Caenorhabditis elegans: one gene and its partner. The protein of the gene in region 2 interacts with the protein of the main gene of each other region in a pairwise test. Each region holds a gene or a part of one and is shown on either strand. Other genes may lie near its edges. The genes, in order: pold-2 and trx-2.

Evidence for each region.
Region 1: the proteins of trx-2 (region 2) and pold-2 interact in a two-hybrid assay, tested with the Caenorhabditis elegans proteins (one large-scale study listed by BioGRID).

What each region holds. Positions count from the first base shown.
Region 1 is NC_003282.8:11,553,923-11,571,504, forward strand, and holds pold-2 (putative DNA polymerase delta small subunit), read right to left. Parts: upstream 7,912-17,582; 5' UTR 7,911-7,911; coding exon 7,832-7,910; intron 7,787-7,831; coding exon 7,697-7,786; intron 7,652-7,696; coding exon 7,218-7,651; intron 6,258-7,217; coding exon 5,704-6,257; intron 5,175-5,703; coding exon 4,976-5,174; 3' UTR 4,815-4,975; downstream 1-4,814. Other genes in the region: sec-24.1 (Protein transport protein Sec24C), read right to left, coding at 8,510-8,737, 8,784-9,665, 9,716-10,176, 10,227-10,458, 10,511-10,765, 10,817-11,763, 11,807-11,914, 11,959-12,126 and 1 more; srgp-1 (Rho-GAP domain-containing protein), read left to right, coding at 16,621-16,789. UniProt on the Caenorhabditis elegans protein: The function of the small subunit is not yet clear.
Region 2 is NC_003283.11:10,307,293-10,322,279, reverse strand, and holds trx-2 (putative thioredoxin-2), read right to left. Parts: upstream 7,610-14,987; coding exon 7,457-7,609; intron 7,410-7,456; coding exon 7,320-7,409; intron 7,265-7,319; coding exon 7,070-7,264; 3' UTR 6,986-7,069; downstream 1-6,985. Other genes in the region: srdf-3 (Polyprenal reductase), read right to left, coding at 65-187, 236-501, 548-739, 1,164-1,312, 1,363-1,562; gna-1 (Glucosamine 6-phosphate N-acetyltransferase), read left to right, coding at 2,129-2,626; Putative pseudouridine synthase B0024.11, read left to right, coding at 2,746-2,854, 2,905-3,319, 3,365-3,651, 3,695-3,805, 3,851-4,301, 4,346-4,706; asps-1 (TUG ubiquitin-like domain-containing protein), read left to right, coding at 4,886-5,296, 5,345-5,688, 5,741-6,067, 6,224-6,325, 6,380-6,917; Receptor-type guanylate cyclase gcy-6, read left to right, coding at 8,227-8,280, 8,334-8,399, 8,440-8,549, 8,714-8,823, 8,876-9,008, 9,184-9,410, 9,458-9,589, 9,636-9,748 and 11 more; Crescerin-like protein che-12, read left to right, coding at 14,926-14,987. UniProt on the Caenorhabditis elegans protein: Participates in various redox reactions through the reversible oxidation of its active center dithiol to a disulfide and catalyzes dithiol-disulfide exchange reactions.

The DNA of each region.
Region 1 (17,582 bases), on a different chromosome or scaffold from region 2:
TGTCCATATTTATTGAATTAGATAGAAAGTTGTCTTTATTTCTAAAGATTCCTAAAGATTATAATAATGAAAAAGAATAAAACAAACGTACTTTTCACTCATTTACTAGTTAGTTTTCAGGCTGTTCTTCTACATTCTAAGCGCTATTGGAGAGCATAAGATTTTGTCGGTTGACAACAAGAGTTGAGGCTGATTTTATCTCGGTAGGTCTCGGAGGTCTTCATTTTCTAGCTGCCCTGCATGTTGTGCACATTCTAAGCATATTCCGCGCACAATCTGAGCGGATTAAAAACAAATGTGTTAAACCACTCGGAATGTGCGCGGAGTTTGCGCATATGCCTACCGAGCAAGACGACGTTCTGGGCAAGAAGAAGCACAACTGGTCCAAAGAAGACCCCACAATGGTTCAATCACAATCAATTATTGCAATCACAACCCACTGTCAAAAATGTCAAAAATGATTTTATTGAGAAAGAGAAAAAAAGCGAATTGGGGAAAATGTTAAATCTATAATTTATTTCATTACAAACTCAAATGCAGATAAAGTACAACAAATTAATCAAATTAATCATGGACTTAACTCAAACAAAGTAATGAGTTCATCCCTTACAGATTTTACAATAGTAGACTTAGTCTCAAGTTTACGGATCTCGTCATTGAAAAGTCCTTGTGTGAATGTAAAAATAAACGATTCTCTGTCTGTATTTTGTTCCACGAATTTTTTCATAGATACCAGAACCCAAAAAATTGGACCATCTCTTTTTGATAACGAAACGATTTTTCGAAATTTGGTGCGAAGTGAATAATTTGCAAGATATTCTCTGATTTGATCAGTTAGATGAGTTGGAACACGTTCCAAAATTAATTGATTTGCTGAGTCACAGAAAGGAAGTTCAACTTGATTTTTATCTGCATTTGCTACAAGGAATGTAAGAATTGTCCATACATAATATCCTCGATCATCATTCCATTTGTTGAGCATTCTTCTGAAAATTATAAAAATCACATATGGAACTGGACAATAGACAACTTTAGCTTATTAATCAGCGCGGATTTTCATTTGAAAATTAAAATAAATGTAGCCAAATGAACTTACTCTAAAAATACGTATGTGCAATCCGCAAAGAAAATCTTTAGGTCTTTGTATTCTAGTCTATCGCATATAGCGAGTAATACGGTGAGTATTTTTATGTGGAATAACTCGTTATCAAACATTTCGATATACCCAATCAGAATTCCGATTCCACCATTTTTCACAATTTCAATGCAGAACTCTTTCCAACAAGTGAGGTGTTCAAGAATTCGAATAGCATCAAAACACCAATGAATAGTTTGAAAACCGGCAATGTGCCATCGAAAACTTAATTCCAATATTTCCATTAGTCGAGCAGCATTCACTCCCACATTTAGAAGATCGCCGGGTTCACTATCTCTGACTAGCGTGACAAGAACATGAAGTGCTCGGGTCTGAAATCCATCATAGACTCCAGTTGTTGTTAGGAATTTCATGGCAGTCTTGCAAATATTGTCACAATCAAAAGAATACACATAAGATGCTAGTGAATCTATAGTATTCCAAGCCATAATATTGATTTCTCGACCATGCTCCGTATCCATTTTCGGCAGAAACATGACAGAGTTTACTAGAGAAATTACTAATGTTGAAACTTCACAACTGTTCAGTTGATGAATGTAATACCTGAAATTGAAATAGTTAAAATACTTGTCAAAACTTCTTTTTTTGAAATTTTCCTTTAATGGATTTAGTGGTTTAAAATTTTGTGAAAAACAGGGTTAGCGTATTTTTGGTGGAGTATTGTCAGTATCGAAATATCTCAAAACCACTCCTATGCAGAGTGCTAAGATGTTCAGATATCATAATAAAAATTTCCAAAACATTTTAAAAATGTTATTATGTACAATTAAAAAATAGTAGTTCGTTATAATTTATCATAAGTCTGAACCAAAAACTATTTTCGACGAGATTTGTGATTTGATTTCGGCTTCATTGTTTGTATTTCAAGATTCTAAAGGCTCTAACCTGCATCAATGCTTGAAATTACACCAAAAAATACGTTTTTTTCGAAAATTTTGCCAATCTACTAAAACGTTGATTGGAAGTTTCAACAATCTTGAAATTTTTGAGGTTTCGTAATGCGATATTTAATTTTAATGTATTCTGAAAAATGCTTAACTGGCGCTCGACTACAGCTGGTTTTTCCGGATTTCGGGGGATTTTTAGGATTTTCAAGGCAAAGTTTTTTGTTTAAATACTAGAAATCCGATTTGCCAACCCTGTTTTCAAAATGCTGAACTATATCTCACGTTGCAATTTTTATCAAGAATTGTGCTCCAAAGTACTGAAGCATTGAGGTTGAAGACGTTCTCATTGCTCGAATAATAAGGTCTAAAATCCAAGATGCATTAAAATGCTCATAGTATTCATGAATCCATCCATTTAAAAACATTAAGCACCAATCTAATATGAATGATCTATGTGAGTTCAACTGATTAGTGAGAAATTCAAGAAGTGAGCAAAGACTAGATGGATTCCGAATATTAATATTTTAACTCGTTGACTCTTCTAAATCTGTACCTGAAAATCAAAAAATATGTTTTAGATAACTGTAGATTCAAGTAAAATCCTACCCAGGGCTACAAGTTCACAGAGGCTTTTATGAGATTTTTGAAAATTCTTCAAAAAGTTCTGATTCATATCAGTTCCAGTGCAATTTAAATATCTTAACTCTGGGAGTAACATTCCACAGTTTAAATACAATTCGATGATTCTTGTAACAGCATTGTTTCTGAAAACATATTCCAAAGTGATTATCTAAATCTGAAAAAAAAAACTAACGTATGTCTCGAGACATCTAGAGCTCTTAAATTCTTCAAACTGAATAAATCAATCAAATCGAAATGATGTTCAAAATCCAGATTCCGGATACATAGAATTTGTAGATTTTTTAAATGTGAGATTCCGTTGAGATTTTTGATATTTGCGTCACTGATGTCCAATGAGCATAAATTGGTGAAATTATGGCAAAGTTGAATGAACTTATCAGAATCTAGGTTAGTGTAACTTATAACGAAATGCATGAGATTCGGAAGCATCAAACCAATCTGAAACAACAAAATGAGGGTTAGATTTTTGGTCAAACTTCAGAAAATGTTTGAAGCCAATAGGGATTTTAGAACTAATTAAAGTCAGAAATTCCCCAAATATCTTAAAAAGACCCTCCAAAAAATTTAGGTTTAAAAAATTTAGAGTCACAGTTTTGGCATAATAAAATTCCAATTTTCTAGCAGATGTAGATTTTTGACGTAGATTTTTGAATAGTTTTGATTATTCCTGCAGGTTCAAAATTCTAGAACTTTCTATCGCAGATTATTGCAGCAAATGTAAAATTAAAAATTGGCTGAAATTAGCATTTGTGCGGTCGATTTTTCAACGTTTTGCTCTTTTGCCCTCAATTTCTGAGCATTTAGAATGAAATTGTAGTTACATAGGTTTTTTGGTATGCTGAATCCCATTCCAGCATTAGTTTCCCCCAGAAAAGTTCGAAAATGTCTGAAACCCCAAAAATTAGGGGGTTTCCCATAGCAGTTGGGCGCACTGTATTATGCAATTTATTAAACTGAGTTTTGAACACTTTTTGGCTGTGAATTAAAAAATTTCAAAAATGATTCAAAAGGTTTTATATGGTATTTCAAAAATTTAGCACTATTCAGTCACTAACAATAAACTATGAACATAAATTACCTCTTGTATCCATAAATTTGAAGATGATTGATGACCGGTTATATCTAAGTTTTGAAGTTTCAGTCGACACTCTTCATTCAATAATTCTCTCAAAAATTTGAAAATGTCAACTTTCATATTATCTGCAACATTATTACTCATCTGTTGATATAATAAACTTTCAAAAAACTTACTTTCATCATCTAAAAACCATTCACGGACATTAATCAAATGCCCTAAAATAAGGGTATCAAGATGTTGCTCTCTGAGCATTCGAAATGTCTTGAAATCTAACAAAGTATAAGTGAAATCAATTTTGGATATTTGAAATTTCAGACGTATTTGTTCTGTTGCTCTATGTGTCCAACTCGTCTCGTTTCTTGTTCGATCCTTTGATAAAATATAACTGGAGCTCCGCATTTTTCTGAGATGGCAGTAAATGACATTACTCGATTTTGCATCAAGAATATAATTCATTTTATTGTACTTTCCTGAAATTTGTATAGTTTATTGAAGAATTAAAATAAAATAAAACATACCACGTTCAATATAGTCAGCAACTTTATAGGCAGTCAACTCCAACAAAGAGCTCACCATTTTTCTGGATAGAAATTTGGCAGACTGACTGTATAACTGACTATAGGGTTCTGCAACGCCTAATGAGAACAACGGAGAGTCATTACACACTATCGACAGGTGTGAACGCTCAAAATTACTTTATTGGCTCTCATCTATTGTCTCTCATGGGAGGGCGGTTGACACCTGGAAATGTAATTTTCGGTCATTAGACTTTTTGTGGTAATAAGGTTTTTAAATCTCGTTAAAGGTGGTGTAGTCGAATTTGAGACTGTGCTTAAAAACATTCTCTATGCTCGTACAAGTCGATATGTGAAAGCGAAACATCACAAAAATTTCGCTAAATGAAGTTATGAGCCTTCAAAGTGCCGAAAAAAATCTCGCCGTCCATCTAATTTGAATTTCGCGCGCAAATGAGCGCCACCTCGTGTGTACTCCTCTCAGACAATCAAATAATTAATTTCCTGATTTTCGGCAATTTTAGGCGATTTTTCGTACTTTAATGAGCCTATCCTCGTTTTTTATTGGAAATTAACGTTTAAAGATACAATAAATCGTATTTGGTAAAATATTTAACGTAAAACAGTACAAAAAATGGAGTAATAACTGGATAATTCAACAAAATGTGAATTTTGAATGTGAACACGCATAAAATAATTAGAACTGATGATCAAAGTTTTGCCACTTCAGGGAAAGATCAGATAAGTTGAGAAAGCAGGCGACACGAGTTTTGGAGAATTTGGGCAGGCAAACAACAAGGCAATTTGATCCATCAATTGGAATATGACGGAACTCGGCGTGAGGTTGATTTCCACAAATGATCACATGCGGTGTGATGTCCATGATCAGAGGATCTCTGAAAAATAATTGTTTTGAAACATTCTCTGTATAGGTAATAAATGTTCTCTATCAATAGAAAAGTACTGTACTAAATCAATTTTTTAAAACTTAAAACTAGGGACCTTAGGGTGTTCGTTTTTCGATTTTTTTTTTAGAAAATCGAAAAACAAAAATTTTTCGATTTTTGGAAAGTCGAAAAATTTCTTTTATCGATTTTTGATTTTCACTGAAAAACATCGAAAAATCGAAAAAATGTCACCCTTGACTAGAGTTGGACATTTTTCTGGTTTTTTAATGTTATTTAAAGGAAAAATTGATTTTATTTGGCTTCTTTTTTGACACCAAAATACCCGAAAAAAATTTATATACTTACAGCAAACCTTATTTTTAGTGGTTTTTGATTAATTTTTCAAAAAGTATTTAGGTCTTAGGCTCCAAAAAAATTATATTTCGAAATAAATCCAATATCAACATATTTTTTAGTTTTTTTGGTTCGAAATATTTTTCGAAATTATTCTGTGCTCCAAAAAATGCACCAAACAAACCTTTCAGCCACTGGGAATGCATCAAGAGTATCTGGACAATTTGGTGCCACATGTTGCCATTTAATGATATTCTCAATAGCATCAGCTCCCGTCCATTTCAGGGAAGTACGAAGAAGCTCGCTCACGTTTTCGCCAGACATTGTCATCACACGTAGTCCATTGACTTCAAATTCATATGGATTTGTCACAAGATTCACTTTTTTATCACTCATTCCACAACGTGGAAGACAAACTCTGTGAATAGGTGGCAGTGGCCACATCGATGAGCATGGATCACCAACACCAGGAGTCACGTCGACAGTGTTAACAAGAGGTTTTTCAGCAATTGAATTAATAATTTTGTCTACAGTAATTAGTGATGCTGTTGAAGAATGTTTCTCTGCACGTGAAAGAGTAAGTGTTCGAACGACTGACTGAACATCACAACCATTTGATTTTGTTTCAACCAGTGGACCAATAACTACAAGACGATCAATCGGTGGACATTGATTCTCATTTCCAACTTGAACATTCATCCAATCAGCCATAAATTCAAGACCAGAGATTGTGAGTCGCTGAAATCATGATTTTGTAGTTTCGAGAAAACCATGGAAATATGAATCTTCTGAATGGAACTTATTCCATTTGAAAGAGCATCTTCTAAGAAGACCCCTATAAAAAATTTAGCGGCGGATGAGCACTTTGAACTGGAAAAGGTCGCTCTGAAAATTTTTCAATGCATTTTTTTTCACAACTTTCGAGGTCCGTAAAATGGCTACAAATGTGAATTTTTGTAGATTTTTGATGATTTCTAAGATGTTCACGGCCGGTAAACATTCAGATTTTGTTTTTGGGAATGTTTAAAAATTTTTGAAAAAAATCTGAAATTTCGCAATGGACATGGATTCAAAAAATCGAAAAAATTCCAAAACAAATTTTGAATGTTTGCCTGCCCCTGAAAATCTTAGAAATCATCAAAAATCTACAAAAATTCACATTTGGAGCCATTCACAGACCTCGAAAGTTGTGGAAAAATGCACTGAACATTTTTCAGGGAGACTTTTTTCCAGATCAAAGTGGTCCTCTGCTGCTAAATTTTTGTAGGGGCCTATTTAAAAGATGCTCTTTCAAATGGCATAGATTTCATTCAGAAGTCCGGGATTAAGTGGAAATACTTAGATTAAAATATCCGAGAAAAGGTGTAATTTGGTTGTTTTTCGATTTAAATTAGACAAAAAAACAGAAAACAAAAGATTATGCGCCTTTAAAGATTACTGTAGTTCCGAACTTCTGTAGATTTTCTTCGATTTTTCATCCGTTTCTTTGAAATTTATTGAAAAACATGTGAAAATGTTTTTCAAATTTTGACGAATTAATGAAAAATCTGCAACAACGAGGAGTTGGGAACTACAGTACTCTTTAAAGGCGCACTCTTTTGTATTAACAAAAATCGGTCGCTTCGAGATCGTGTACCGTAGTTTTGGAGCACAATTTTAAAGTTGGAATAGTATTCAAGTTACAGAATTAATACTCACATCGTCTTCCAAATCTCCAGTTAGATCGAGTCCACTGACGAAAGCGATAGTCCCGTCGACAGCCACTTTCTTTGGAACTTTTACAGATGGCCAAACCAAACGATTCACATGAAATACTCCTTCTTTTCCTAATTTTCCAAGAACTCCAACACAACAACCAGTTGCACACTCATCCATTGAAATATTTCCTTCCAGACGTACTGTCTGTTTATCTGATTCCAATTCGATTCGATCTTCAATGCTTCCAGCGTATCTTTTCACTTCGTCTTCTTCGGCATCTTCTTCATAATCATCATAAGCCACTTTATCCTCGTTGAGCAACGATTTCAAAATTGATGGTCTTGCAGCTATTCTCTTTACAATAACGCCGACCACGAAGATTTCCTCGTCTTGTTTAGCATCGCTCAATTGTGAATGCGTGAATTTTCCCTTGCCTGAAGATAAAAATTAAGGTTTATTAGTAATATTATAATTCTAACCAATTTCACGTTCTGCATTTTCCAAAATACGAGGTTTCAGTTCCTTCAAGCGAGCTTCGTAGACTTCAAAGTACTGTCTAGTGAACGCACCTGAAAGAAAATAACTTTTTAAAGCTTAGAGCAAAATATAAATACCTTTTTTATCTTTTTCAGTGAGAATGTATCGATCTGAGACATTCTTATAGTTTAGGATGTTGGACCAAGCGGTTTCCATTCTTAAAATAAAGAAAAAAATCAATTCAAGAAGGCAAATTTGTCAATGTTGAAATTTCGCGGCAAATTGCGTTAGAGCGCGTTAACATTACACCGAAGTGAATTTCAAAAATATAATATTCACAAAGTCAACATATTCGATTCTCAAATGTTTAATCAAAAACATTTTATTTTCATAAGACACCATCAAATTAAACACATTCGATCCCATTTCAAATCACAATAAATTATATGGACGGGGTAATAGGGGATATTTTACAAAAAAAGGAACAATAAATAGAAATCTCTAAAAGTCGCGAGAGCAACTGGAAAAGAATAAATTAGGAATCTGGGAAAAAGCAGATAAAACAAATTCTATTTTTGCACTGATAAGGTGCTAGGAAAGCTAATATCTTAATTTTTACAAACCATGCTCCATAATATTAAAAGAAAATAGTACGGCGAGAGGGAAGGAAATGAATGTGTACAAAGAAACCGGTACAAAATATTAATTCTTCCAACATTTCTAATCACAAGATTTGCTTTGGCGTGATCAAAATAATATGAAGGAAGAACAAAGGGAACAATCAAGAGAAGCAATTCTATCACAGTATCAACGACTTAGGAAATGAGATCGCGGATTTTGCGATGGATATCCACAAGGTAATCAACGTATGACATATTAGCAGGACCAGCCTTGTCTTCCACTAAAAATTTCTTCATCCATGGCTCAAGGCCGCTTTTTTCCACGACAACGAACGTTTTTCGCTCTCGGATCCCACGTGGCAAAAGTTGAATTGCACGACGAAGAGCACGTGAATGACCATTGTCTTTTTCCGGAATTGTTCCCTGAAAAATGTAATTGACTAATTGAACGTAGCAATTGATAACTTACACTCTCGGTATCAATTTGATTTGTAGCACCAACACCAAACACGTCTTGAACCCATGTCTGGGGGCATGCAGAGCCAACCCAGACAAACAGAATAACACCGTTATCAATAATATAGGCTTTCGAATTTTCCAGGAACTCAGAACTCGCTCTAACAGGTTTTGGAAGATCCTTCATTTCTTCAGTATCATTGATTTGTAGATCAGAGATTGGCATAACTCTTGGATAAATAAGAGGCATGACATTTTCAGTTCGTAGCCCACGGATCAATTCCATCTGCCACACTTTGTCGTCGACTGTCATTTCACTTCCTCCACTGATCGCATCATTTTTCAAAATAGAGTTCACATAGAGCGGCATCAATTTCAGAGATTCAGGAAGAATCAGTTGTCCAAGTGGGGCACCTTCACTACACTTCTCTCGATAGGTCGCTAGGAATTGTGCACAACGAGAAGAAAGTGATTCTCTCATTTCTGAGCTTCCCTTGTCACGATTCAATTGAACAGCTTGCTTCAACATGAATGCTGTCAATGCTTCCGGATCAGCAAGTCGGTAAACTTGGTTGTAATCAGCAGTAACTGGAAGGCATAAGTTCAAAATTCGCAAACGGCGCTGTCCAGTCATCGACGTATACAGTACAGCGGTTTGAATGAAGGAAGCTGGATCTTTCAGACTATCATCATGTTTGATTTCTGTGATGAATGCTTTGCTTTCATCCAATGTAGCCAATTCCAAATCCGTTGAGTTTTCCATGTAAAAGGAGCCAGTAAAAGTGATAGGACGAATTCCTGTAGACGTTCTTACTCTTGCCATGCAGTCGAATGCAATTTTCTTAGAAACGTGTCGTTCCAACTCATTCAACATGCGAACACCGTCTTTATCGGCCTGAAATAAAAATAAAATTAATAAAATTATTGGTTTTTCTTTAAATTTACCGAGAAATACTGAAATTTGAAAATAGATCCTCCCGTAACTGCAGAAAGCTGACCAATTGTGGCAACATCAATGAAAGCATTTGGGAAGAGGAATAAATCGACAGTAACTCCTGACTTGACACATTGCTCTCCCAACTTCGTGTATGAATCTTCTTGTGGAACCAGTGCATTCTTTTCTTTATCTGTCCCGAGAAGAGATCGATCATTTTTGGATTTCAGCTTTCCCGGTGCATCATATGTTGGTAGAACAGTTGAAAACAGAATCACTTTTCCTGCTCTGTCGGCACACTTCAAAGCGTCAAGACCGGCTTGTACGACGGGTTGAAGAATGGTTTCGGTGGTTTTCGACTGCGAAAAGAGTTTAGGAATTTCAGCCAATGCGGCACGAAGTCCAGGAAGTGCCTCGTTGTAAGGGAGAAGAAGTCCATCGACCATAGGAACAAATGGCTCTTGAACATCAGCTAAAAACAGTACATATTTAGACAAATTTTTATAAGTTTATCAAACTTACACATTACGAGCATTTTTGGAGATGCCGACGAAATGTCAAAGAAATGAACCGCCTGATCGAATGTAGCCAATCCTATACGCATAGACGACTCGAGCTGTCCAGATTCTCTTGGCAAATTTCGAAGTACTTTCTCCAGATTTTGACAAAGAATTGGAAGCATTCCGTTTGAAATAGCATTGTAGGATACATCAATCATAAATATGAAGGCCGGTTCTTTTGGCGCGATTCCATTCTAAAAATGTCACTTAGAATTTTTGAAAATTGCGATTTTTTTAATTACGTACCTTGCAGTATTGTTTTGTAGCTACGAGATCATACGCTCCAAGACAGAGTTCTGGACGCATTTCAATATCAGTTCTTCTGCCTGTATGATCGAGATGGGCGAAATAAGCATCTTCGACAGAAGTTCGAGCATGGCAAAATGGACAACGGAAGGAGCGTCCACCATCTTGGAATTCCATAAACGGACAAATGTATGCCTTACAACGCTGGCAACGAATCGGTCCTTGTGGTCCCAGATCGACGACTGGTGGTTCTTTCTGAAATTGAAAATAATTGATTATTCATTTTTGAAAAATTAAAAAAAAAACCTCATATTCAGTCAGAGATGCGAATGGCGAAATGACAACGGCGAGCGGAATCTGCGATGCTTTCAAAATGTCATTAGTCTGTGGAGCTGTGTAGAGGGTTGATCTCATAAATTTGGGGTTGCAGTTTCCTTGATCTTGAGCGAAAGAATTTGTAGAAACAAGTGGCGGCAATTCAGCGTTCGGATATCCAGTTGGGAAGATCCCGCTACGAGTCGACGAATCATCATCAATAACTTGAACAGCACTTGGCATCATATTAGGATCAAGACGTTGTTGTCGTTGCTGTGGTGGGCCGCCGGGGTATCCACCTTGCATTCCCGGCATACCTGGACCTCCTGAGGGATATCCGCCGGGACCTCCTGGGCCTGGAGCTCCTGGAGCGAATGATCCTGGCATTCCTGGTCCTCCTGGGCCTGGGGCTCCCGGGGGAAATGATCCCGGCATTCCTGGTCCTCCTTGTCCTGGAGGGAATGCTCCTGGCATCCCTGGTGCAACTGGAGCTGAGGCTCCCGGAGGAAATGCTCTTGGCATGCCTGGGCCTTGTGGAATATCTGCTGGGCCAGAGGGATATGATCCTGGAACTTGTGGACCGGGTGGAAACGAGCCCGCTGTGGGTTGTCCTGGTGGAAATCCTCCTGTGCCAGGTGGGATGAACGAATTGGGCGCTTGAGGCACTTGTGGAGCACCTGGGTAAGCGCTAGGAGCAGAAGATGGTCCACCTGGGTAGCCTTGAACATTTTGTGAAGTGGGTGCTCCAGCTTGGAACGAACTTGGAGAGCCGCCTGCCTGTGGAAAACCAGGGATTTGTGGTCGAAGCGGAGTGGGTTGATGGATCTGATGTGGTTGTGGCGGCAGATGAGCTCCTTGGTTCATTTGCGGAATTCCCGGAGTCGGAGCAGGCGCTTGTTGCATTGCTTGAAGTGGACCTGCAGGTGTGGCACTAGGAGCTAAAATAGAAGTTTTAGCTTTGCCTCTATAAACACTATTTACCTTGAACACTTTGAGGTACAGCGGCGAACTGTTGAGGAGTTTGCTGTCTCTGTACTTGTTGCAATTGCTGTGGTGGAGCTCCGGGATATCCTGCTGGCTGGTACGGATCTTAAAATTAAACTTAACGGATTAGCGAAAAAAAAGCAACTCACTTGGGGGTTGTGCTGACGGAGTTGATCTAGCTCCAATAGACATATTATTCACAGATTGTGCCAAGTGAGACGAATTTCCATTTAAGCCTCCATTTTGATACTGTCCATTTGGTTGCTGATGGGGTGGAGGAAATCCACCTGGGACTTGAGCTGGCTTTTGCGGCGCTGCTAAAACAATTGTTGTATTATGCAAATGTTCATATAAACTCACCTGGAGGGGGAAATCCGTTTGACTGAAACTGCGGCTGTTGGTTAAATTGCTGTTGAGGATATCCGGGCATTTGCCCGTTTGGTGGCGGCTGATATGACATCCTGGAACAAGTATAAAGATTATTTTATATTTTTCAAAATAAAAAAGCTAGAAATCGAGCTAGAAATTAATTAAATCCCGAAAAGAACGTTGATTTTGCTGTAAAGTTCCATGTCACAGCGCGATCCACCGTGTACGCAAACGTCGCGGTGGGCAAATCGCTGCGAGACCCAGCGTGCTGCGTCTCTTCAGGCAACAGCTGTCTCTCTTCATTTCGGCACTTTTTGAATTTTAATTTTTTGTTTTGTTGTTTTTTTTTCTTTTTTCTTTGTTTCCGTAAATGGAAATGTTGATAATTATTTAGATTACACCTAGGCGATTAAAAATTACTATTTGAATCAGGATTCTGTAGGTTTTGAATAGAATATTACCCGCTAGTACTGCTTGTTCAGTTTAATTCGGGAAATCCTTCTAAACTCCAACTAGATGTGATAATAGACCTTATTAATAATATCGATGCACGTTTTTGTGTGCTCAAAATTACAAAAATTTGGCTAAACACATTTATATTCAAAGTAAGGTTTCAAAAAAAAAAAATTTCCTCACGATATTCATTAATGAGGTTCTTATTATTTATGCTAATTGTGGTATAGATCGCCAGCTGTTTCTCAATCCCTTTCTCGTTTTCCGTATTTCGTATTCAAACCGCACCGCCCTTCTCTGTTTTTCTGGATCTCACCGTCCATTACTGGCAACAATAGGAAAGAGTTTTCTTTTATTCTGACCTCTTCCCTCCCTATTCAGTATGTTTGTACAGTTTCCATTTACATTAGTCACTCGCTCACTTTTTGACTTTTTTTTTGCAATCTTTCGGCCCACTCAAACCCTCAAGAAAATGTATCAGTTTCAACTTTGTTCCTATAAATATTGATATCAGGGTGTCTACACGTTTCACTGTTTTTTTGTATCCCGGAACATTAGTAACACAAATGACCCGATTCCAATGGCAATTAGGCGCTTCGAATCCTTTCACCGTCTGCCACTTATGGTCTCAAGGTTAAGTTATTATTGTTACTGTCAGGTACTACCCATCGGATAAAAAGACGATTGAACATCCCTCACGAATGTTTAATTTCGAACTCTATTGAATATACTTGTAAGAAATATTATTTTGTGCTTATAGTTTTTTCAAAAAATGCTTTTAAGCTTCAGTTTGACAAATAAATTCGGCTTCGTTAGCTGAATTTCCCTTGCCCTTTCACTTTTGATCAATTAGTGCAGAACGACGGATGGTTTAAATTTTACGATTCCCTAAAGACTTCATTTCCCAGGCACGATGCTAAAATAATGTAATTGTGTATCAGAAGCGAAGTGAAATCGGTAGAGAACACTTGCGTCAGGTGTCACATATCCTTTTTTGGTCCTTTTCCTTCGTTCTATTCACGTCCATTAGGTATTTATTACTTTATTAGAGCTTGTTATGACGAATGAGCCGCGGATAAACAATGCATGTTCTTTTACTTCTTTTGAGTGTGTGCCGCCCGCATCCGCCGCTCAACACATCCATTATGATGCTAATAAGTTTTATCCTTATTTTGTCGGTCATGAATTATACAAATCCGCATTTATTTTACTTACCCGATTTTTAATGACAATTTTGAGTTATGAACTTGAAAGCATTGAAATTATTTTGATCAATTTGTGGGTTTTATTTATTATTTAAATTTCAAACCCAGTATCGTTATACTGAATACGACTCGTAAAATATCATAGCATTTTTCTAATTTTTAAAATAGGTTTTTTAATCAGAGAATTTTATTGACCTAGTTTCGACATTTCCGGCTGAATTAATTGAGTTTTTGTTTTATAAATTGAAGCACAATTTATCAGTTTTTTCGCAATATTTAGAAATATTCTATTCATTTTTACTGATATATTCAGTAAATCGAGACAACACTGCTCTCAAGTTTCTCGATATTTTACAGTGACACATGGAGTTAAAGTATAAAATACTGTAGGATCAGATGTAATCGCATCATCATGAAATCCGCTTTTGAATCCCTTAGCCTCTTCAGAAGGACACTCGAAACTAATTTGGTTTTGACCCGATTCACATCGTTCTTTTATTCGTTTACTATTACTATTAGAATACCGTCCATCATCCGCTCCCTACATGTTTTCATATTGTCTCCTTCGACATTTATAATGTTTTTATTCATATGTTTTCAGTCTATTCTTTCTTTCTTTCTTTATTTCAACCTGTATTAAAGAGCATCCACGTCATCGTCTCCCCCTTTCTCTGCGTTTCCACTACTTGACCTAGTCTCTCGATTATCGCTGACAATCTCGAATTTCATCACAACATCTTCTCTTCTTCGACGCTCACCAGTTGTGGCTAGTCGATAGGCACCGGATCTCCATGTCCTTCTGCCGGTCACGCTTGACTTCTCAGCCCTCCACCATGTTCATGGATTCAGTGATGGGAATTGGAATAGCTTCATAGATTTTCTTTCCGGACCGGTCTTTTTTGGAGATTCTTCTTCATTCGGGAAGAACATGTGTCTAACCACCTACGTCTCTCTAGTCTTGACCGCTCTATCGCTCCAATCCGTGTTTACAGACCTTGGAAAGGCTCGGCGGAGCGCGCACGCACCTCTAGTCGTCGAATGCGCTTGTTAATTACGGCAAACATACGTTTCACACTTTATTTTTCTCTTTCTCGACGCACATTTCGAATTTCTATATGGTATTGCAAAATGCAAATAAATATATAGACTGTACTGTATTGCCTATCTCGCATTTTTCATGTTCTTTTCGTTTCCCATAAGAGTACATTAGCCGTGTAAGGAGGATTAGTGTAGGGATATTACGACGGCCACTACGAGAAGGTGCCAATTGGAACCTTGTTCTTCCCAAGTGGACGAGACAATGAGACCGATGAACGTCATCATTACATAACATTCTTATTCCTTCTTCATTGGAATACACTTTCTTTAATTTTAAATATTTATGTACTCATGAGACTATATAATCCATTCTGAGCTTATTAATTCTAAAATTTTTATATAAAAAATATTCCCAGTGCGCTATTCATTTCTTTATGTTGTCAGAAAAAAGTTATTCTTGTCTCTTGTGTCCGGCAGTGTCCGGCAGCGCCCTTGTTTGTCGGAAAGAGAAAACTAAAATAAAAGTTTTCCTCTCTTTTTCAAGAAGCCCAAGGCGTTTTTCACTTTCAATCGTTCCTTTCCTGCTTCGTCTTCCAAAAAAAAGCATGAATTTTTTGGAATAGCCGAAAGGCTTTAGAGACCGAGTCAAGATTGATGGCATCCTTTTGCCAGTCAGCTCCAAAACCAATATCCGTTATTTGGGATGTTTTTCTTCATTTCTCATTCATCAGGTATATGTTAGGTGCCGATTGAATGTTGTCGTGGAAGAGGAATATGATGTTGATGGACAATAAAGATAACATTGTCCTGGTCTTCCCCTCTCCTGTTGCCTCATAGTAATACTTTTACATAATCTCGGATGAATAAACATTTGTCCGTTCCATTTATGTTTTCTTCTTCTTCTTCTCGAAAATAGATTCGTTTCTATTGAAAGGGTCAATATTTAATCCATAGTTAATCTTCTATTGAGGAATTACTTTTCTTGAAGAAAAGAAGAGCAACGAATGTCGGTTTACTTCTAACTTGATATTTTTAAGCTTGTTATAAATATCAATTCATATTTATACTTTTTTGTTAAAAAATTATTTCAGGTAACTATGCATCTACGGGAGCCCCTCAAATATGTATGTAAAATATTAATTGTTTGCGCCCTAGTGGCTTTGTTTTCAAAAAAAAAAGACGATGACTTTAGCAAAAACGAAATCAAATACATATGCTTAATTCAGTCCATCTGCTTCACTTTATGTTGATGTCTATTCTCTTTTTGCAATTCCTATTATTTTTCTGTCGTTCCTCTTGTCCTGAAACCGTATTGTTACATGCCGTCCTCGGTGTTTCTTTCCACTGTTTTTCTGAAAGCTACGTCCACCAAACCCTTGTTCACTTTTTTTTTCTATTTTTCGCCAGCCACACGTTGATTTATGTGAAGTAGCAGTAAGGGGGCAAACGCGGGCTTTACCATCTGCCAAGCTAGTTACTTTTTTCGTCCCGCTCCTTGCGCTTTTTGCTTGCCCATCTCTTTTTTTGTGCTTTCTCAAACTAACTCTAGCCACTCAACTCTTATAAATCAATCAAACAAATTCTATAAATTGTCCTCCTTTTCTCCTTGCCTATCCTTTGTTTTTTTCAAACAATCCGTGTTTCTTCCATACTTTCCCCTTCAACCCGATATCATTCATTCAATTTATAATTTTCTTTTCCAGAATTTCACCCAAACCACTTGCTTCACCCGTGCCGACCCCAAACATGACGACGTCTTCGTCTGAAGGTGGGGCCGGTGGCCAGCACGAGGAAACTTCGATGACGTTAACTTCATCAACATCAGCAGACAGAAGATGCTCACAGGACGTGAGAAAACATTCACAGCACAAACAAGAAAAGGCGATTGTACACGATTTGGAGTGTGCTGCTAAAGGTGAGATTTTTTGAAATGTTGGAATCGTAATCTTTTCTTTTGGTAACTTCGAGAATTTTGCAACAAAAAAAATTAAAAAACCTTCCGTATTACCCAGACACAAAACTTTGTGATTTTCGAGCCAAAATACGGTAACGGGTCTCAACACGACAATTTTTTTTTGAAAAATACGAAGAGGAAATTTAATTAATTCTCTAAGTTTTTCTAACAATTTGTTAAAAATTTATGGATTTTATTTGAGTTTGAGAATACAGTAGTTTTTAAAGCACACTTTTTCGAAAATTCAACCAAAATTTATCGTGTCGAGACCGGGAGCCATATTTTTGGCGCAAAATTTCGCGTTTGAGTATCAAAACTGAAAAACTAAAAAATAGTTCGATATATTAAGCTTCAAAGTTTATTAAAAGTATTTGTCATCTTGATCTTCCCTCCAAGTTTACATTGAATTCATTTCGTTGTTTTTTCTTTCCGCTCACACCCTCTCCAACTAGTTTATGTTGATCCCATCACGAATTGGGGGTAAGTAGAGATATAAACATATATTACGTGCCACATTGTGAGGAAAAAACTTGTTCAATGTTCCTAGTGTTGTTCATCATAATCAAACATTTTAATTGCGATTTTAAGTATAGAACACTATCATTTTCATCCATTTTTCGCGCCTTTTCACCCTATTATCTAAACAATCATCAGCGGAAAGAAGTCGGTACACAGTCAGAGAGAGAAAGAACACACGGGCGGTGCGGGAAAAAAGAAAAGAAACATTTTCATTTCGCACCCCATCGCCATCGTC
Region 2 (14,987 bases):
GGTTTATGACAAGAATCTAGCGACACGAGTAGCGAAAAAATAAAAAGAAACCGGGAGAAGAGCATCATAGAACGTAAGGAATGAGAGCTTTCCGACTTTTCGGATATTTTGGGAATGTTTTGTGGTACCAGGAGTGAGTGATGAGAGCAGCAAACGTTTGATTGATGCACACGAACATGATTATGAACTGAAACGGATTTTTTTAGAAGAAAAACGGATGAAACTGACAACTTACTCTATACACGTAGGCATCAGGAATTACAAGAAAAAGTGACAAGTAGATGCATATCTCGAATAGAAAGTGAGGACATGAGACGAGATTGAACCAACCACCAAAGCAGATACCATAGGCGTAATTGCGAATTAGTCCTCTAGGACCTTTTCTTGTATTTGCTATTTGTTCGGCTAGCTGATGTTGTTTCCAATTGCAAATCCAAAAAAGGACAGCTCCAGCCCATTGGGTGAGAGAAATATCATCAATTGACACGTGAAGCTGAGGTACTGTGAAAATAAATTACTAGAACATTTCAGATAAGTATCTTCTTACATTTGGAAGCAACTCCCTGTGTTTCACACATAATTGAAATTGGCAGAATGATGTAGTGGACTATCCCAACTGCATAGTGAAACAAGTTCATACGACTGTCCGAGTAAACACTGACAAATATTGTTTCATAGAGACGTCGTGCTACGTGAAGGCTTATGAGCAGGAGAGCCAAGATTGATGTGCTTGGGGTAACTGAAAACATATTTATTTCAACTTAAAAGTGTATAATATGATATTCTAATCAAATTTCTAATTTCTGAAAATTTGAGTCAAAGTTTTGGTAATTTGCCAAATGGTATTTATCTATTTTTAAATTTACGAAACGTTTGAAGTTTTTGAAAAATTTAAAGCAACACCACATGTTTGAAGCCCTACAGTGATTACATAAAATATTTGAAACATTATTAAAATATAACATTTGTAGAATACAATATTTTTGTTGTTTTACAAAATTGAGTAATAGACACTTTTTGACTGAAAATAAAAAGTTTAAGTTCTACTGAAAATTGAAAACAATGAAATTAATACAACTGCGTCGCGACTTCGCATATATTCCAAAAACCACTAATCAAAAAAAAAAAAAGAAAATCACTTTTTTTTTAAAAGAAAAACTTACTTGGTGGTATACTGTAGGATCGTGTTAGCGTGGCAAGAATCTTGAGAACCACTGGATGCAGATAATTAGGATTGTAGATTAACGAGTGGACAGTGTGTAGACATATAAAAAGTGTTAGAAGACCGATTGCGTAAAAATGCTTAAACCATCTGAAAAATTTCAGACAAGGATAGAACTCCCAAAGACTAACTGTACTCACTTTTTAGGTACAGATATTTTTTCTACCAAAGAGTTATCTTCTTGTTGATCAGCAGCTTTTCCATATGTAGTTAGTGCAGGTATCAATCGACAAACGTGAGGACATATGAGAGTAAAACAACATGAAATGGCAAGTCCAAGCGTAGATACTAACAGATAAAGGGGCAGTGCTTGGCGCACTTCCCAAAGTCTATCTAACATTCTGAAATGAATAATTGTATAGAAAAATCAATGGACACAGAAAAATAAAGTCAAAAACGGAAACAAGAAGAAAAGAGCGGAAATGAGTAATGGAAACATTTTTGGACGAGGGAGGAGCCGACGCAGAGTTTCTTTTTCTGAGGAGAGAATACGCCAAACGAGTGCAGCTGCAAGTGTGTAAGTGCGCGATGAGAAAGTAAATAGAAAAACCAATGGCAGATACTGGGCAGTTGGAGTTTTGAAAAAAAAATAAAGAAAAAAAGAAGTAAAACGTTTTCTTTTGATTTCACAGGTCGTTCAATGTAAAATGTTTCTAAAATGTTTGTCCGAGAGGAGTACATGGCCGAGAGAACGCGTGGCCGTGGCCTAGTTCTAGGAACAATTTTAAACGTTGATTTATTTATTTTTTGCGTCGATTTGGAACAAATCTCCGCATCGTTCGAGTTATAATTTCTCTCCTTATTTTAATTTTCATTTTTTCAAATATTTAGCAAGCTGCGCTAGATTCCTCCTAAGTTTTTCTCATTCGTTCGAACGATTTGTCATCACTTTTCTTCAGAGAAAATATGTCTCACATTTTTGATGCGTCTGTGTTAGCTCCACACATTCCTTCGAATCTTCCTGACAATTTTAAAGTTCGTCCCTTGGCAAAAGACGATTTCTCGAAAGGATATGTTGATCTTCTGAGTCAGTTGACTTCGGTCGGAAATCTTGATCAGGAAGCATTTGAAAAGCGATTTGAGGCGATGAGGACCTCGGTCCCCAATTATCATATAGTCGTCATCGAAGATTCCAATTCTCAAAAAGTTGTTGCATCTGCCAGTTTGGTTGTCGAAATGAAGTTCATTCACGGGGCAGGAAGTCGCGGAAGGGTTGAAGATGTTGTCGTGGATACTGAAATGCGTCGTCAAAAATTAGGAGCCGTTCTTTTGAAGACTCTTGTTTCTCTTGGAAAGTCTCTCGGAGTTTACAAAATTTCTCTCGAGTGTGTTCCTGAACTTCTCCCATTCTACTCACAATTCGGGTTCCAGGACGATTGCAATTTTATGACTCAGCGCTTCTAAATTTCACACGTTAATTCATTGATTATTCTGCTAATGGGGTCTTGTAATATGGTTTTTACGCATAATTTGTTTTATCGTTTGGTCTGATTTCTTTCATGTATTTATTGAATAAAGTTTAGATGGAAACCGAATTTGGATTGACCGAGTATGCCAGTGAGCATACAATCACTCCTGTGCCCTGCCTACTGAAAGAAATGTACAGTGACTTCATCGTTCAAGAAATTTTAGGTTATTTAATCAAACTCAATTAATGTTACTAGAATTAATTTTATTTTCAGCCGACCACACAGTTTTGGCCATTCCATCGCCAGATGTTGTCCTAGAAAGTACTGGGTCCAAAAAAGAAGACATTGAGATCGAAGAGTGTGTTGCTAAGCCAGATTGCATCTCAGAAGAGACATTAGCTGCATTAAATGACCGATTCTCTACGAAAGGAGATCCCGTTCTTGTAAAAGTTGACGATTTGAGCAAGGAAGATCGAAAAAGCATTCATCATTTCATTAGAGAGCGGTATGCTGGAGTTTTAATCACCGAAACGAAGGAAGATGGAATTCTGGTATCTCATGGTCATACGAAGAGCAGTCGGAAGCGAAAACTATGGGATGAAAAAGTTCCAAAGGAATGTCACTTCACCATTTGCAAAGAAAATAAAGAGACTAGCTTTGCTTGCCAACTTATTGCAAAGTTTTTAAAGTAAGTTGTAATTTAGAAAAAAACTTTTTAAAAAGTAATTTTCAGTGTGGGCCCGAACAATATCAGAACTCACGGAATTAAAGACAAGAGAGCTGTGACTTCACAGAGAGTTAGTGTTACTAAAGTGCATGAGCGAACGATTCTGGATTTGAATTCGAAACTCCGCGGTATTCGAGTCTTTGGATGTGAGTATAAAGATGACCCAGTTCAAATGGGAGCTCACTGGGGAAATCGATTCAGCATTGTACTAAGAAGCTTGCCTGACGATTCGGAACAATTGCTCCATCAAAGACTGGAAACATTCCAAAATACGGGATTCATCAACTATTTCGGTGAGTATCGGTGGTGAGTATCAATAGACCTCATAACCTTCAGGTACTCAACGATTTGGTTCACGAAGTTCTACGACAGCCGAAATCGGATTAGCTATTGTGAAAAGAGACTGGGAGAAAGCAGTCAAAATGATCATGACTAATGCTATGCCCGGTTAGCGCTAAAACATTAAAAAAAAAGAAAATTAATATTTTTTAGATCATCTGGGATACGGGTCAGTTGGCTACGCCGCTAAGTGCTTTTCCCAAACTGGGGATGCTAGAAAAGCATTTTCCAAGCTGAAAGGAGCTCAGGCTTTTGCTACAGTCGAAGGAAATATTTTGAAGTGTCTCTCGAAAGGAGGAACATGGCAAAATTGTATTACTGAAGCAATTCCGATTCAAAGCCGCAGTCTTTATGTCCACGCTTATCAAAGCCTCATTTGGAATAAAGTAGCTTCTCGTCGAGTTAAGGAATATGGTACTCGAGTACATGAAAGTGACGTTGGAGCCAATGGATTCTCTCTTGGCGAGCATGCAACTCATTATGATATCCATATACCACTACCGGGAGAAAACTTGCCATTTGAGGGTAGTTATGGCGCTAAGTGGATCTCTGAATTGCTTGAAGAAGATGGACTCACTCAATCGAGCTTCACAGCACTAAAAGAGTAAGTTTCCTGGTCCAAGTTCAATCAATGTAATATATTTTAAGTCGGTTTTCACTTGGCGAATCATCAAGATGCTTGTTTGTTGAAGCGAAGGAGCTCAAATGGAAGTTTATTCGATATGGAAATGCACGAGATCTCTTGCAAGATGGATTACAAACACGTGCTATCCCAGAAGCAGAACAGAAAGGTCCACTTCTGGCATTGCAAATTCAGTTTAGCTTGATATCTGGATCATATGCAACTGTAGCTCTTCGTGAGGTAACTGGAAGTGATATGGGCAAGAAGGCTATGAGAGATGCTTCGTTCAAAACACGTGGTGACGATGAAAAAACTGAAGAAAATGTGTTGGAAGAAAAAGGATCCGATGATGCGAATGAGCTGAATCTTGTTTCAGAGGACCAATGATACAACAGTTTCAATGTTTCATTTTATTTTTATTGTTAACCTTTTTGTTATTTGTTGTGAATTTATAAAATTGCTTATGTTCGGTGAGGTGTATTTATTTAATTCTGGTTGATTTCCAACTTTTCCGTTTATTTTTTTGTAATGCCACTCTACTCTTATCAGTTCATAATATTTTGCAGATGAGTTCCTTGAACATAATCTGCCCAAATGCAAAAAGGGTTCAAATAAAAACCACTCCAATGATGCTGATGAGGCAAGTTCTCGAAGAAGCTTGTCTGAAAAGTGGTTTTGAAGTAAACAGTCATCGTCTTCAAACACAATCTCGTAAACCCATTGACTCTTCTCTTCCATTTCGACTCACCGGACTCGCCAACAATGCAACTCTCGAAATGACACAAAAGGAAGCTGTATCCGAGAATACGATTATTGAACTAGCTATTCAGACTGCTTCTGGAGCTCGCCATCAGAAGAAAGTAGGTGTAAACCAGATGCTCTTAGATGCCTTGAAAAGTTTCACGAGCGAGTTCAAAGAAGATTTAGCGACGACAATTGATGGATCCGTTCCGTGCATTGTCTACATGAATAAGCGGGTAATTTGATACATAAAGTAATTAAAACATTGAAAATTTAAATTTCAGTACACTGGTGCCGAGCTCGCTGTCAACTCTCTCTCGAGCCTTGGAGTAGCATCTGGAAAATGCCTTATTCGTCATATGAGAGTTAAACTTAGTGATCAAGAACTCGCAACAATGCAAGCGAAATTGCAAGAAGAAAACGAAAGAAAAAAGGCTCTCGACGTGAATTTTGTCAAATTGAAAGCTGAAAATGCTGAAAGAGATCGTTTGGAACGATTGCGACAAGAAGCTTTCGATAAAGACAAAGAATCTCGAGAAAAGAGAGAGCAAGAGCAATTGAGAGCTCTTATACCGGAACCTGCATCGAATATACAGGATAGTACCGTAATGGACACTACTGAGTCTCAGTAAGAATTTTAGAAACAAATAAATCATAAATTCACAAAATTTGGTTTTCAGACAACGAGATGTGCTTCAAGAGGTTCCTGAGCAGAATCCAAATTCATGGTCCTTTGACGGACCGGCGTTTTCTCGTCAAGTACCTCAAAACACAATGAGAATGGAAGAATTAAATCGTCTTCTCGAGCGCGTAGATCATTCGCTAGCTACACCTGCAGTGGAATCCAGAATGGATGCAATGGTCAACGCATTGGCAGATGGAGGAAGAATTTCACTTGCTGAAGTTCGAACGAGAGCCGATGTTGCAATGGAACAGGAGCAAGAAGAAGACCCAGTCGAAGTTTTTGCAAATCCATGCGATAGACAAGCAGTCATATACAAAAAACGGTAAATGCTCACTCTTTTTTTTTGACTTCGAAATAATATATGAAAATAGTTTTCAAAAGTTCACACGAATCAGGAAGGTAAATTAAATTCTACTAAAAATCTCAAACATTTAAATCCTTGAAATTTTAAATAGTATCACAAAACAAAACTTTTCAGAGCAAGAGTGCAAACAACTGATGAGCCAATGGAAACAGAGGAATTTTTCGAAGTTGGGATTGAAGATGTTCGTAACATGCAGAAAGATCTTCGAAAGGCTGTGTATGTTATAGAATTCCGCTTTCAACAAATATAATAATGTTCGTACGGTTTCAGTCGTGATCAAACTCAAGCAAGCTTCATTTCTAAAGAATACCTGGCAAAGAAGAATCGTCAGTTGAAATTAGAAGCCTACAAACACACTGTCATTCGTATATCGATTGGAGAACACATTCTTCAAGTGTACTTTAATACTGCCGAACAAAGCTCAAATCTTGACTTGTTTTTGAATAACGTTTTGACTAGATCTGGATGGAAACTCATGTTCACTAATCTGAAAGTGGTCACAAACGAATTGAAAAACTTTGTCGACATCGAACTCGCGCCGAAATCCACTTTGATCGCCAGTTTCGGAGGACAAACAGTGAATGCAGCAGATGTCGTACACAATGTGATCGAGGTTACTCCAGAAAAGGCAGATGCGATGTCAGCGGACTGGCTCTCGCTGAACAAAACTTTTATGCCATTCAACTCAACCGTCAATGATGACCGTAAACAGAAGAGACCTCAATTTCAATCATCTTCGTCTTCATCGCATTCGGGACCTCCTGCCAAATCCGCTATGCCAAAATGGCTGCAAACAGGAAAAAAATGATAACGTGTTTTTTACAAAGTGTAAATGTCTATACATATTGCTTCGGTGAATTTTTAATGTGATTCTTTCTTTCATAATGTTATTCCTCTAATTTAAATGAACCATTAAAAATCAACACGTTTAAATAGACATTGGCAATTTTAATACACAGTTTAAGCAGCGAGAACGTCCTCGATAAAATCGTCAAGCTGTTCGTCGTCAAGAACTCCCGAAAATCCGCTGATTTTTTCTCCGTTTTTGAATGCAAATACCGTTGGCACCGCAGAGATTCCATAATCCATTGCCAGTTCACCAGCATGATCAACGTTTATTTTGGCGAGAAGAACACTTCCTTGTCTTCCGTTTACCTGAAAGGATTTATCGTTTTTTTAAACTATTAAAGTAATTAACATATGTATGTACCTTTTCCTCGAGTCTTGGTCCCAAAGCCTGGCACGGTCCGCACCATTCTGCGTGGAAATCAACAATGACTGGAACTGATGATTGAATTACCTGTGAAACAAAAAATGATATATTACACTTAATTATCTATTATCTACCTTTTCTGTGAAATCTTCAACAGAATCAATGTCGAAAACAGAAGCGCCGTGAGAAAAATGACGTAATTGTGTCATTTTTGAAGTCGCCAGAGTTGGTTTGACGGAGATGGCTGATCGAGCAAAGAATGATCCAAGCTTAAGTGCTTTCTGCATCTGATAAAAACATTATTTATTGATGTGAACCTTAAAACAAATAATTTCAAATTGAATTATTAAAGTTAAATTTAATATTAAAAACAAAAAAAATTTGTTCTAAACTAATAGAACTTTTAGGCCAGCATTTGGAAAACTCGGCCATTTACGTTTTCTGAAATAATTAAAATTATTATTCGGGCATCGGTAGACAGATAACCTGAAAAATGTTGATAAATACACTTGAACTCTGTAACAAATATATACAACCAGTTGTTGAAAAGTTCTGAGGAATTTATCAATCATTTAAATATTCAGTTTAAATGCGGAGTGCAGAACCTAGAAATGAGAAGTGCATCCTAAACACATCCGATGCATCCCAGACAATTCGTAATTTTCTTTCTGACTAATGAAGCTGATTAATACGCGTATAGGACTGAACAAATATATTATCTCTGACTTGTTCGTCGAAGCCCTTCAACAAGTTTGCTCATGATTATGAGCCGCCTGGAATATATCCGAAAACTAATAAAAACTAAAGAAAACAAGATAGAATATTGTTTTTATAACACTTTTTGTATATATTAAAACCTCAGAAGACTGCCCACTTATTCATTTTCATAACTCCTTTCCAGTGAATGATCGGAGTTTATCTACGTTCTGTAATTTTTCCTTTATTATTTGTGATCCAGGTACCCGGAATTTCAAGCTTGCGAGCGTTCGTTTCTTAAAATATGATATTCAGACTATATGTCAACCTCCTGGGAACGTATTTCATCTGGGATTTCTGCATTGCGATGTACTTGAAAACGTGAAAAGCATAGCGTTATTCATAAAATATTTGATTTCAGAATGTGGAAGGATCCACTACATATATCAATTATCGAACATCTGCAAGTGCAGCGAGTATTGCAATTGATAAAATTAAACGAGAAGGATTACTTCTTGGATATGACTTCAAGTAAGAAAATAAAATGAAGTTTGTAGGGATAGTAACAATAAATGACCCTTCTTACCAAAAATTTAAAACTAAATGGGAACTTATGACATTGATCCAGGTTTATTTCTGGAGGTTAAATCTAAATTTAAAAAGTCCCGAATGAAATTGAAATGATAACAATTTAGATTTACAATTCTCTATGATCAATGTGATGAAAATATTGCTGCTGGAAATGCAATTAAACTATTCGCAGAGCACAACGTTGATGTATTATTTGGTCCTACTACCAATAATGGTAAATATTCAATAAATTGATGGATCTTCATTTTTGGAAAACTGAGTTTCAGCTGCAATGCCAGTTTTCATTCTTGCCACCTACTACAATATCCCACTTATTACTTGGGGGATAACTTCATCAGCAACATTGGATGATGAATCCAGGTTTCCAACAGCTGGAATGTTATCAATTGGATCTAGAAGGTTGGATACATTTCAAAAATCACAACATTTATTTAAGAGATTTAATTATATTGTTTTGACAGCTATAACAGTATAACAGTATAAAGACAGTTAGAATATATATTTGGATTTAGTTTTAGTTTCGATTGGAATATTACACCACTTTGAGATCTACTACGATAAACCAATTTTTCAGTCTTGCTGTAACATTTCGTGAAGTAATGAAAGAGTATGGATGGGATCAATTTGTATTTGCATATTCTTTGGAAATGAATGATGAAAAATGTGAAACATTGAGAGATGATTTTCAAAATATGGTAGCCTATTATGGTGATATAGTTTTATCGTATGCAGTTCAAATAATGGATCACAGTGAAGAAGGGCTTCTTGCAATTTTAAAAGATGTTTCTACGAGAGGAAGAAGTATCTTTCATTTCTGAAATTATTATCTGAAGTAATTTATTTTTCAGTAATTGTTCCATGTTTTCATGAAGGAAATTCACGAGGTCTTCATCGAAGATGGATGTTAGTAGCGGCAAGAAATGGATTTGTTAATGATGAATACGTTTATATTTTCCCTTCACTTCGATCTCGAGGATATGGTAAACTTTACTGTACTCTCTGAAAATCTTCAGTTAAAATTTTCAGCTGTACCACAAGCTGATGGTACATTTAGATATCCATGGACTGAAGCTACAGGCCCACAACCAGGTGACCAAGAAGCTCTTTTGGGTTTCCAAAAGTCAATATTTATTGTTGATGTTAGTTCAATAATTATCAAGTATTCATTTCAAAAACATGATATTTCAGATGCAAGGTCAAGGAAACGTTGGATCAAATTATACACAGTTTGAACATGAAATTATTCAACGAATGAAAGAGCCACCATATAATTGTACAGATGCGTGCGCGTCTCCTGAATATCAAACTGTCAGATTTAAAACAGAATCGGCTCAAATTCAAAGAATATGTTTTAGGCTGCTACGTATGCTGGTCAGTTACACGATTCAGTATACATCTATGGAGTTGTAATGGATCAAATAATGAAAACTGTTCCTAATCAGTATAAAAATGGAACTGCATTCCCACGAAAAATGGCAGGAGTATTTAATGGTACGAAAGTGTATTTAATGGAATATAGTTTATTCAAAACTGAATCTGATGAATCTGATATAATCTGATAATTGTATTTCAGGAGTCGGTGGTACAGTAGCCATAGATGAAGGTGGAGGACTTCAGCCAACTCTATTTGTTCTAACACTTGATTCAAACAATAATTCTTCACTTATTATGACTGTTGATGTGGATCAACAGGAGGCAGTAGTTACAAAACATTATACAAATGAAGCAACTGCTTTATGGTCTCATAGAAAAGGAATCCGACCACCTGATCAACCAATTTGTGGATACACGGGTTCATTGTGCCCTGCAAACGTATTTTTTCAATATATTGGGTGGTTTATTGCAGCCATAATTATAATTTTCTTTACTATCATGGGAGCTATTCTCGCATTTATTTACCTTTGCCAGTAAGTTCCTTTTGATATCACACACCTTTATAAACCCCTTATTTAAGTGCAAAACAACAAGAAGTTGAGCGACAAAATGCACTTTGGCAAATACCATTCAAATCAATGATGACTGTTACAAAGAAAGGAAAAGGAGAACATAGTATGAGAAGTATCAGCAGTGTTCCCAGTACTATATCTTCAACAAGATCATCAACATTATCAGAAGTTGGAGAAACCAGAAATTATTTGTTTTTCCAAATCCAAAATGATGTTGAAATGGAACGAGTAGCAGCGAAAAAACATTCAATTCGTATGGTATTCGATAATAAAACATGTGCAACAATGAGACAGGTAGTTGAGGTTTTTATATGTTGTTCATAATGAGTGACGTTTGAAGATGAGATTGATAGACCATGCCAATTTGAATAAATTCATCGGAATGAGTCTAGATGCTCCACAACTTTATTCCGTATGGAGATTCTGTTCAAGAGGATCTTTGGCTGATGTGATAAGAAAAGCTAGTATGCAAATGGATGGATTCTTTATTTATTCATTAATGAAAGATATTATCAATGGCTTAACTTGGATTCATGAGTCATCCCACGAGTTTCACGGAATGCTCACATCAAAAAATTGTTTATTAAATGACAGATGGCAGTTGAAAATCACAGATTTTGGATTAAGAATTTTCAGAACACACGATCAATACAACAAATCTGGTAAGTAATTTACAAAATTGAATTTTGAAACTGTAGTTTATTGTTGTCAAAACCAGACGAATTAAATAATATAATTTTAGATCGATTATGGACATCTCCAGAACTTTTACGAACTGATGATATATTGGGTAGTCGAGAGGGAGATATTTACAGTTTTGGAATTATAAGTGCTGAGTTAATTACCAGAAGTTCAGTTTTTGATCTCGAAAACAGGAAAGAGGATGCAGAAGGTATTTCATGAATTGAGTTGAATCCTAATAGATTTTGAGTTTAGAAATAATATACATGCTGAAAAAGGGCGGACTTCAATCTCCACGACCAAGCTTAGAACATGATGAATCAATTGAAATAAATCCTGCATTGGTATGTTTCTCTGTTTAAATTTTGATAATTATGCATTTACAGCTTCACCTAGTAAGAGACTGTTGGACAGAGAGACCTTCAGAACGTCCTGATATTAAACAAGTAGCTTCACAATTGAGAAGCATGAATACGAATAGAAATGATAATTTAATGGATCATGTATTCAATGTACTTGAATCATATGCATCAACATTAGAAGATGAAGTTGCTGAAAGAATGAAAGAATTAGTTGAAGAAAAGAAGAAAAGTGATGTTCTTCTATACCGTATGCTTCCAAGACAAGTAGCTGATAAGCTGAAACTTGGACAAACAGTTGAACCGGAAACATTTGATATTGTCACACTGTTTTTCTCAGATGTTGTTAGTTTTACAACTCTCGCAGGAAAGTGTACTCCTCTTCAAGTCGTTAATTTATTAAACGGATTGTACACAATATTCGATGGAATTATTGAACAGCACGATGTCTACAAAGTTGAAACTATTGGTGATGGATATTTTGTTGCTTCTGGTGTTCCCAGAAGGAATGGAAATGAACATACGAGAAATATTGCAAGCATGTCAATCAACTTTGTTAAATCCTTGGCGGACTTTAGCATACCTCATCTTCCAGGGGAGAAGATTAAAATTCGAGTTGGATTTCATTGTGGTTGGTAGTTTTATTTTATATGGAAGCCATATAATTTCGAATAGATATATATGAAGGAAAGAAAGGAAAATATTAGGTTGGCAAGAAAGTCATGTCCTAATTTTTTGTCATGGTGGGATGTAGATCTATTTTGGTGTGTACTCACTTCTAGTGATTAATAAGCAGACAAAAGTCTTTGTAGTAATTAACCCCTTATCCCTCTCCCTTTCTCTTAGTTCAAGTTCAATTGAGATGAATCTTCCTACTTCAATTCTTCTTCGGCATGTTCTGTTATGCATGCTCCTGGCGGACAACACACTGAATGATTCGAAAACTTTTCTGATGAAAGTTTACGATGGACATACTCCCTCGTATAAAACCATACAGAAATGGTTCAATCGTTTCGGAAAAAGCGACTTTTCGTTGATTGAAAAGGAATGCTCAAAAGACCACATGAGTTGGATTTGAATGCACTGAAAGCCAGTGTTGAATCGGATCCGTTTGAAACTACCAATGAGCTTGCAAGCAAGCTTAGGTTCTTTCATAACTCTAAAGCAGATAGCTTGAAATTGCTCGGCATGAGTAAAATTCTTGGTCGATCGTACCTCATGATTTGACCCTGGCTAACCTTAACCGCCAAGTTGATGTTTCATGTAATCTCCTCACTCTCCACGGCGGTGACCGTTGGTTGAGCCGGCTTATTACTAAACACGGAAAGTGGGTGTTGTACACTAACCATCACAGACAAGCCCAGCGGATTGCAGAAGGACAAACCCTACTGCATGTTCCGAAACTCGGCCTTCACCCAAAAAAAAAGTATGCTCTCTGTTTGGTGGGACTGGCTGGACCCCTCTACTGGGAGCTGTTACCTAAGGGTGAATTTATTACCGGAGAGACCCACTCAAGACAACTACCGAATTTTAAGAAAACAGTCGGTCCTTCAGCCTTAAAGTATAAGAAAGTATATTCCCAACATTAAAACTCTCGACCACATGTTTTAAAACAAGTGGTGCAGGAACTGACAAAATATGGATGGGTGATTCTCCCTCTACCACCAAATTTTCCTGACATTGCTCTAAGTGATTATTGGCTTTTCTCCGATCTGACTCTTGCCCTTCAAGGTATAGCTTTCAAAACAAGAGAAAATTTCAAATCTGATATCAAGCAATACTTTGAGTCCCTGCCCGCTGGATTCTACAGGCAGGGGATCCACAAGTTACCTCAACGTTGGCAGGACGTTGTTGATCATGATGGAACATATAACTGATTTCTTGTTTTAGTTCGCTTCGAGAAATAAATGATTGAAAAATAGGACAGGACTTTCTTGCCAACCTAATACATAGATTGAACATAATATCTAGACAAAATAAATGTACAGAACTATTGGAATAAAAGTTTTTTTCAGGATCCGTTGTAGCCGGTGTTGTTGGACTAACAATGCCAAGATATTGCTTATTTGGTGATGCGGTCAATACGGCAAGCCGAATGGAGAGCAACTCTAAACGTAAAATATTCCAGAAGTCCACTAACATAAGTTCTTCGTTTCATTTATTTTCAGCGGGGCAGATTCATCTTTCGGAAGAAGCAAATCAAATGTTGATGAGACTTGGTGGATTTACCACAGAGCCACGTGGCGAAGTCATAATCAAGGTTTCGAAATCTCAAGACATGAACACTGATTTCTTTTGTTTTTCTTTCAGGGAAAAGGTGTTATGGCAACGTATTGGTTGCTTAAAATGGACGAGTCAGCTGCCCCGAAAATTCTGAAGAAAAAACAAGATTAGAAATTATCTTGATATTCAGTTTTTGCTTACTATTATATGTATACATATTGTATCGTTTTATTTTAATTTTAAATATTTGAAGTTTTTGATAAAATGTTTAAAGACCGACAGTGTTTCAGAAAATAAAGTTACACTCATAAGTAATCATTTATTTTTTGGCTTTAAGCGTATCAGCTTGAAAACCAATAAAAACCGGAAATATTCAAAGCGGAAGTTCAGTTTTTGCGAACTCCCAAAATCTCATACTTTATCAATAAAGTCCCACAGAGCACACAGGAAATTGAATTTGGAATCCGAAACTTGTTTTTTAGTAAAAAACTCAGAAATTGGGTGAAGGTATTAGATTAAAAATTGCAAGCAATCACCTGTTAAATTTTAAATAACAATTAGTTTTAGGTCGATGAAATATTGCTTGTGGTGGTACGAGTTCGACATTTGAACTCAATTGTTTATCAAAAATAAAAATATATGTACATTTTAAATTCAAAAATAAGGATTTGAGCAGGCAAATAGAATATCGTAGAAAAGCTCAAGAGAAGTATTAAAAAAACGAAACTTTTCTTTCTCGTATTTTATTTCTCTTTAAACGGACACATTTATCTTATGTATTACTGAACGGACCTCGTTTAGGTCCATTTGGTCATCATAACCCTGCATACCTCGAAACTCGGCTTCTTTCCTCAACTAGTAGACTCTATACACATTTCACGCAGCGGTTGCCCAGACTACAGCTACATTGCGTTCCCCCTTCTTTCTCCTTTTCATCTTTTCACGTTGTCTTCATCGTCTGTCCACTACCACCGCCCACGGCTTATGATATCCTCACCTTTTTCTCCCACTCCCCCGTACTCTTTTCCAGTTTCTCTCCATCTTTCATCTATTGTTGATTTCAGTTTTTTTTTTTGAATTTCAGTTGGAAGCAATTGAATCTGAAATATGACATCACTGTTTGATGCATTATCAAGAAGTAATGATCGCTTACCATCTCCCAACTTTCT